Linked DNA regions of Coturnix japonica. The protein of the gene in region 2 interacts with the protein of the main gene of each other region in a pairwise test. Links are inferred from orthologs where the notes say so. Each region holds a gene or a part of one and is shown on either strand. Other genes may lie near its edges.

Region 1 (4,093 bases), about 48 Mb from region 2:
AGAAGCCTTCAGCAACTTGCAGCACCAGATCTTCACTGACAGTTTCACACTCAGTCCTCTGCACAGCAGAGGCACATACATACAAACACATTTGACATGTGTATTCTCATAAGAACAAGAAGCAAAAGCAAGACCTCGGAGTGACAGCAAAGGCAGATAGTAACACTATCATGCAGAATAGAGAGCAGCACTACCCACAGTATAGCATTTTAATAGTCCTGCTACCAACCACTGCAGATTTTTTCCCTCAAGTGCATGTTATCCCTTGGTGAATGAAGAAGCAAAAGCAGAGGTCCTGAAGTCCAGCAGGGACTCAAAACTACTATTCTTACTACATAGATTTATATTTATGCCTCAGGAATGCCTTTTTCCACCAGAAAAATTCAGTGGCTCTGTTCAAATACACTTCCATTTTCACATTGTGTATTCATCTTAGTATATCAGCTGCTTTCGAACTCTCTTTCACAGCATGGACTCCACCTCAATAGATTCTCATGGACAACTACTTCTTCTTGCATAGCTTTACAAAATCATTTTTCCTCCTACTGTGACCGTTCAAATACTAACCTGCTTACATGAAAAAGAAACCAACACTCCAAAAGAATGCCATTTCTTTCCAGTCAGATGAAATTTCTAGCGGTACTAGAATGACAGGACAACTTTTGAAAAGAAATCATGCAACAGCTATACAAACTGCAACACCAATTAACTTTCATAATAGAATTAACAAGAGTTTTTCTGCTCACTCTATTAAGAATGTTAAGCTGTTAACAGATTTTCCAAAGAGATTGAACAATACAATGAAATTATCAATTTCCCATTGAGAAACAAGACCTTACTTTTAGTTGAAATGTTGCATTTCAATCTTCTCAGTGGTCTGTCATACACCCACAAGAACAACAGCTTTCCCATACTAGCTGTAGATGGCATCCCTGGTGCACAGGGATATGATTTAGCAGAGGGTTGTGAGGGTACTATGGTTAGGCTGCGGTTGGACTTGATGATCTTCAAGGTCTTTTCCAACCTGGGTAATTCTATGATTCTATGTATTTTCTTGCATCAGTTATTGAACACATTGTCACCCTCTCCCCAGGTTCTAGATAGTTTATTATCTCCAGAAGAGATAAGCAATGAAACAAAGTCCAGATTTTTTATTTTACTATCTTTTAAGCAGTGTAAAAGCAAAACTGTTTATCTGTGCAACTTTGTTTTCAGTGAAATAGTCTAAATTTACAAAAATAAATACAAAATAACCAAAAGGGTAGTCGAAATATTTTTCTATATTCATATAAATAGTGTAGAAGATGCATAAGGAACAGCAGAAATAAGTTAGTCTGGTTTACTGCAGTTTGATTTTAGGTTCCAAACCTGCTTTAAAGATCTTGGCTCCTTTTCCTTTCATGTCACTCCCTATATCCATGAAAACCTTCTGTTTATCTCATTCACCCCCTTTCTTTCACATCTAAAGTCACACTGCAGCACTGCTACTTGTTTTCCATGTGCCCTACTAGTTATGCAAGTCACAATGCACACTGAGGATGATCTCAAGAAAGTACTGATGTGGAGCAGCCAGTTAACTCATTGAGGAACTAAGCTTACAAACCAGTCATTCTCTTCTCTGAAGCACTAACTTGAGTTTCCTCCTACATACGTATTATCATAAGATTGCCTCTAATACACCCAACCCTACCATTGAACAAGGTTAATTAACTGATTAGTGAGTTCAGAAGTTATCACAGGTGATGTGAAGAATATACAGCAAGCTAATGACACTCCATTTCCCTACTCCCCAATTATTATCAATAATAAATTAACGTGGTGCTTTAGAAGTAGAATGACGCACCATCAAGAAAAACAGAGCTTCAACCATATAGAAACAGACAGCTTGGACATTACTTCAGATTGGGAATCAAAGGTGATATTAAATGATAGAAAACAAGCAAAGATCATCAAGCTCCTTTTTATGATTCTCTCGCTTTGGCTATATGAAGTAAGAAATTAGTGGTTTGAAATTCACCTTGTTCACTCGACTTCAAGGCCTCTTTGATTTGCTGTTTAATTTTCATTGCTTCTTCAGCAGTCAAGTCCCCTTTTTTCAGGGTAACCACTTGAGGCTGCTCATCTTCATTATCGCTGCCATTCTCAGAATCACTATCCGCAAGTGGAAGCTGTTCTCTCTAGAGAAAAGAAACAAAAGCAAAAAAAAAAATGATATAAATCAATTGGAAAAATAGAAGGCAGTGGTTTTGGTTTCAGGTCAGCAGTGATGCAAGCCATTGCACAGCTCACAGTACCAGGTTCTTCCAATGTATTTCAATGTATTCCAATGTGCTTTGCCCAAATGACACAAATCTGTCACATCCTCCAGTGTGTGTTATTGCAGCCCCAGTCCAGCAAGGACAAACATATTTATTTATGTATTTTAAATACGGATTTGCTTGTACTTGGCAACTAAAACGGGCTCGTAGGACTCAGTACAACTGTTCAGAGAATACACCATCATTGCTACAGAGTCTTATGTAACGGAATAAAAAGCACACACAAGCCCTACGGCCCCTACTGTAGCAGCTTATCAGCTGATATGGCCATTTTAACCCTTTAAAGACCATTAAAGACCATTTGAACCCTTTACAAGGGACACGATGCCGAGCAATGAGAAGGAAGCCCCTCTCCTCATGGAGGCCGTTACCTTGGTTTCCACCGTGGGCCCCTCCCGATACCCGACCTGCCGCTTAAAGCGGCTGAGGAACGCGGGCTCGGCCGGCCGCACGTAGGAGACCTGGTTCCTTTTGCTCATGGCCGCCACTTCCGGTGGCGGAGGACGGCAACCGGAAAAGAACAGCCAGCACGCTTCCTACTTCCGCCTCTCTTCCTATACCTTCATCACGTGACGGGGGCAGCAATGCTTCCAGCCAATGAGAGGAGAGAATGCAGAACAGGGGAAGGGATCGTGTAACGAAATGGCCGCTCCCTTGTTGGCTTCATGATAGGGGAGGAGCCACGTTGCTTTCGGCTCTTAGCGCCAAATTCAAACAAGCCGCCATTTTGGAGGGACAGGGGGCGGGCGGGGGGTTGTAGGGCTCCCGTGGATCATGGCTCCCGGCACGAGAGGTGAGGGGGATAAGGGGGTGATCAGGGTGTGCAACTGAGAGGGGCTGGGGGTACCTCAGGGCTGTTGAGCTGAGCGGGCTGTGGTGTGTGGCCGTGGGATGGGATCATCTCGGGTGTCCCCGAGAGCATTTATATGGGCATTTATCAGTAATTCCTTTCATCTACCTCATTTTATTGTTCGTCTTTTGTAGATTTACGTGACTCCGCGGTGCCTGTGATGAACTCATCCAGGTAAAGTATTATTGGCTCCTACGAATAACTCTGTGTGTGGGGGGGGGATAGTGCAAATAGTGTCACTGTAGAAAGTAACGCTGAGTTTTTCACGCGGTGTTTTTCCCACACAGGACTGTCTATATCTCAACTTAGTGATTTAAAATCAAAATCCCTAAATCAAAGTGTGGTTCTGAGGCATCGGATTTCTCTTAGAGCTCTTGGATCTCCCACCAGCTCTACTATATCTCTGAGGGATTTTTAGGCTTCTGTGCAGGAGTTCTAAGCTAAAAGAAAGACAAAAAGCCCTCCAAATATACACAGTTTCTGCCCTGTATGACAAAATACTTGTCAAGTTAGTGAGATGTCTGAAATCCAGTGTCAAGTCTTCATTGGTGGGAAGGTCCACCTCTGCCCTACCGCCAACATCCGTGTCAGATGTCATGTGCCAGAATAACAAAATAGGAGGCATTACTTCAGAGTGTTCAACAAAGAACAAACTGTTGTGTCCACTGATTAATGTGAAATTGGCCGGGGAGATTTTAATTGTAGGAGCTGCTGTCCTTGATCAGATCATTGATTGTGAATTGATTATTCTCTCCCTATGAAAAGCAAAGAAAATGCAAGATTTCTTTCTGTAATATATGTGTAATATATGTAACCATGTGTTCCGTTTGTGTAATCTTTTTCTGAGTTCCTGTAATGAAGAGGATGCTTGAAATCTACAGCCTTAGAAATTGCTCAAGCCCCATTGTAACTGCAGTGGTCTGTG
Region 2 (3,649 bases):
TACACACACAAAGGCTTCCAATCCATAGCCAAGAAGAAGACTGCACAGAAGGTTGGCATGATCTTCACAGTCACCCTAGACAGTAAATGTTTGTATGTTGGTTTGACTATCAGGCATAGCTAAAAACATTAGAAAAAGAAAGCAGTATTTCTCCAGTTGTTATCTAACAAGTCGCGTTTCCCTCCTATTTACCTAAAACATGCACCAGAAGTCAGGACTTCAAGGTTACAAACTTAAGAATCTTGAATTCCTCTTTTTAATATGCACCATATCAAAGTATATCAGGCTTTTACAACTTCCAATGGAGTTATTGTTCTTCACAGAGGCTCATATGGTGCTGCATTTTGGATTTTTTATGAGAACAGTGCTGACAGCACACCATTGCAGGTGCTGCAGAGCAGCGTTTACACAGACACAAGGATATTTCAGTTCTTCATGCTGCCTTGCCCATAAAGGGCTGTGGTACACAAGGAACTGAGAGGACAGAAACAGGATAACAGCTGATCCAGACCACCCAAAGGATGTCCCATGTCACATGTCATAGCGCTCAGCAACATAAGCTGGGTTGAAGGAGGAAAAGGGGATGTTTGTGATGATGGCTTTTATTTTTCCCCCCTTAAGGAACCATTACACATGATGTCCAATGGATTCATTGAAAAAAGGATTCAAGCAACAGCACTGAATAAAGTAAGTCAGCTCCAAAGCCCTCTTGTCTAATACTTAACATCTGCCACTATTTGATCTTATAAAAGCTATTTGCATTTATGAGTTCTCTGAAATGGATTCAGTCCACCTTTTGCAACCTGTTTTAAATGACTAACTTCATTCCAACTATAAAAGTTGTCATGCAAAGACTGTTTTTACATACCTTGTTTCTACATACGAATGCAAGAAGTGTGCACCACTGCTCTTGTTTGCCACCACCTCCTCCGATGACAGGAGCTCTTTCATAACCCAGGACACTGACAAATCGTGCTGCTTGTCTAGGTGTGTCTAGCAACCGGCCCGCTCGAAGTGGTCTGATATATGAACATACCGGACGGTTTACTCCATTTTCATCCTGAACGTGGTAAAGAAATAATAGTACTATTAAAACTTCCTAAAGCAATCCATTATCTACTGTTAGTTTCCAGTGAAGCTTCCATTCCGGCTGCACCAGGTGTGTTCAGCAGTGAGATGAATGCACCACACCCTTACGTGGAAGCTGACACTACTCCCGTACACAGCTGGTGAAGCCAGAAGAGAAGACCTCACTTCCCTGAAGACAAACAGCAGGTGTGGATTGCTTCCGGAAGTTATTTCATCATCTGTGCCAGGAAAATTGCTGCTCTACAAGTTAAATTCATATATTAGCATGATAAACACAAAGCATCACAGAATGGCCCAGGTTGGAAGGGACCTCAAGGATCAAGAATCTCCAAATCTCCTGCCACAGGCAGGGCCACCAACCTTGCCATTTAATAGTAGACCAGGTTGCCCAGGGCCCCATCCAACCTGGCCTTGGACACCTCCAGGGATGGGGCATCAGCAGCCTCTCTGGGCAGCCTGTTCCAGCACCTCACAACTCTCAAAGAACTTCCCCCTGACATCCAGCCTAAATCTTCCCTCCCTCAACTTGAAACCATTTCCCCTTGGCTGTCTGTTATCTACCCTTTCAAAGGCTTGACTCTCCTCCTGTTTGTAGGCTCCCTTTAAGTACTGAAAGGCTGCAATGAGGTCACCCTGCAGCCTTCTTTTCTCCAGGCTGAACAAGCCCAGCTCCCTCAGCCTGTCCTTATAGTCCCATACCATTCCTACTACTGAGGGGCAGTCACCAAGGAACAACTGATGTGATTGTGACGTAAGTTACAACACAGTAACTTACTAGCCAATGATTTGTTCACATCTGTAACTACCATGCAACATTCACCAGCCAGATTACTTTATTAACCACAGAGTGCTCAAATATTATATGGATCTGCTCCAGTATATCCAGTAACTCCACTACTTATTACTGTATAAAACCTGTCTGCAATAGTTTGTATAGATCACTTAAGCATTTGCCATTTGTACTTATTCAAGGAAAAGACTAAAATGGCTTTTCTACCTCCTACACCAGGGGTGCTTGGAGCAGCCTTTCTCTATGAAACATACTCTTCAGCTTCAGTATACATAGTTCAAGTCTTGAAAACTTCATTGTCAGCATACTGTATCACATGTAGCCCTGAATGGAATCTAACCACATCATAAATCTATACAAATTCTACATACACAAACTTCAAACATGCAGCTAAGACTAAAAAAAACACCTTGAAGAACAGATTGGTGTATTTGTAAAATATACAAACCTGTGCAAAAATCTTTACCAGCCTTGAGTTGTGTGTAGGCCTGATCTGCAGGTATTCTCTCCACCACTGTTTAGCATACACAAGAAATAAACGTTCTTTTTCTGCTGTCTTCTGACGTTCCAAAGTAAACTACAGGTAGGAAAATACACACAACCATTCACACATATAATAATTCCAAACAAGAACAAAAAGTAATCAATATACATACTAGCACATGATCCTTGCATATGAAAAATGAAGTTTAATATGACAGCATGCAACCAATGCTAAAGAATAGTATTTTAAAGTGAAAATCCAATGAATGTAAAACTCAATTTACATTTCTTGTTTGTAGGCTGATATATCAAGCTTGACTGAAGTAGTGTTCATCTTCAGTGACGCATATCTGTATAGAAGGACTACTCACCTTGCTAAGTGTGGAATAATATCTGTAACACCTTTGGGCCACCATTTACTGGCTTTTCAAGTAGAGTAACCGACCCTTTATCTACATAAATAACTGTACAGTGTGCATCCCCCCTGCTGATAAAAGAACAGGCCATCCCTCACCCCCTACATATTACTTACCTGAGTGCTTGTTATTTCTGGAGACAGAGTCTTAGTAAGTGGTGGATACATTTCAAGTCTGATGTTCAAAACACCGACAGAAACCTTTGATTCTGTACCTTTGAACCAAAATACATTCCTATCAGTCCTTTCAAATTCATTTGACACAGAACAAATAATAGTTTTAATCATACCATCATAAAAATAAAACCCCATAAACTTCTCTAAGTACATACAACACAAAGATCTTCACTGAAATATTCTACTCAAGAATGAAAGGAATGATAACCTGGCTAAAGAAGCTGGTAACTGGATCTGAGCCCTAAGGGCCTCTTTCCAGGTGATACCAGAACATACAAGATGAATGCTGTTCTGTAAGGGCTAGAATAGGCACCTACAAATAGACTGGAAGAGCCACAGTGTACAAGTGCCCATTGTTACTGAATGTACAACTCACTGCTCAGATCACTGTGGTTAGAGCAGGATCATAACTGCTACACAGGACAAGCTAGATTTTACACTTGAGAACACTGACACGGTATTTTTCCTGGAGACGCATTTGTTGATTTATGTTTGTTTTGATAGTTTACCCACATCCTGGAGATAACAGAGGCTCCCAGGTACAGGGACCACTATTGCACAGGATCTGGAACACACATTCTTAACACTTTGATAAGACAAAAATCTGACCATTAGTCCTTTATATAAACTCTTCTTAAGGATACCTTAAAGTAATTCATGAGTTGATACCTTAAAGTAATTCATGAGTTGATTAG

What was found. The genes of interacting proteins can lie anywhere in the genome.
Region 1: the proteins of CEP76 (region 2) and KIAA1143 interact in binary tests that used the Homo sapiens proteins (3 or more experiments, as listed by UniProt). The two-hybrid records come from large-scale screens. The link is inferred for Coturnix japonica from reciprocal best matches to the Homo sapiens genes CEP76 and KIAA1143.

Annotation. Positions count from the first base shown.
Region 1 is NC_029517.1:39,705,624-39,709,716, reverse strand, and holds the start of KIAA1143 (uncharacterized protein KIAA1143 homolog), read right to left. Parts: upstream 2,861-4,093; 5' UTR 2,798-2,860; coding exon 2,690-2,797; intron 2,178-2,689; coding exon 2,018-2,177; intron 1-2,017. Other genes in the region: kinesin-like protein KIF15, read left to right, coding at 3,093-3,111, 3,303-3,342.
Region 2 is NC_029517.1:87,454,366-87,458,014, reverse strand, and holds part of CEP76 (centrosomal protein of 76 kDa), read right to left. Parts: intron 2,993-3,649; coding exon 2,895-2,992; intron 2,457-2,894; coding exon 2,328-2,456; intron 1,061-2,327; coding exon 869-1,060; intron 76-868; coding exon 1-75. UniProt on the Homo sapiens protein: Centrosomal protein involved in regulation of centriole duplication. Required to limit centriole duplication to once per cell cycle by preventing centriole reduplication.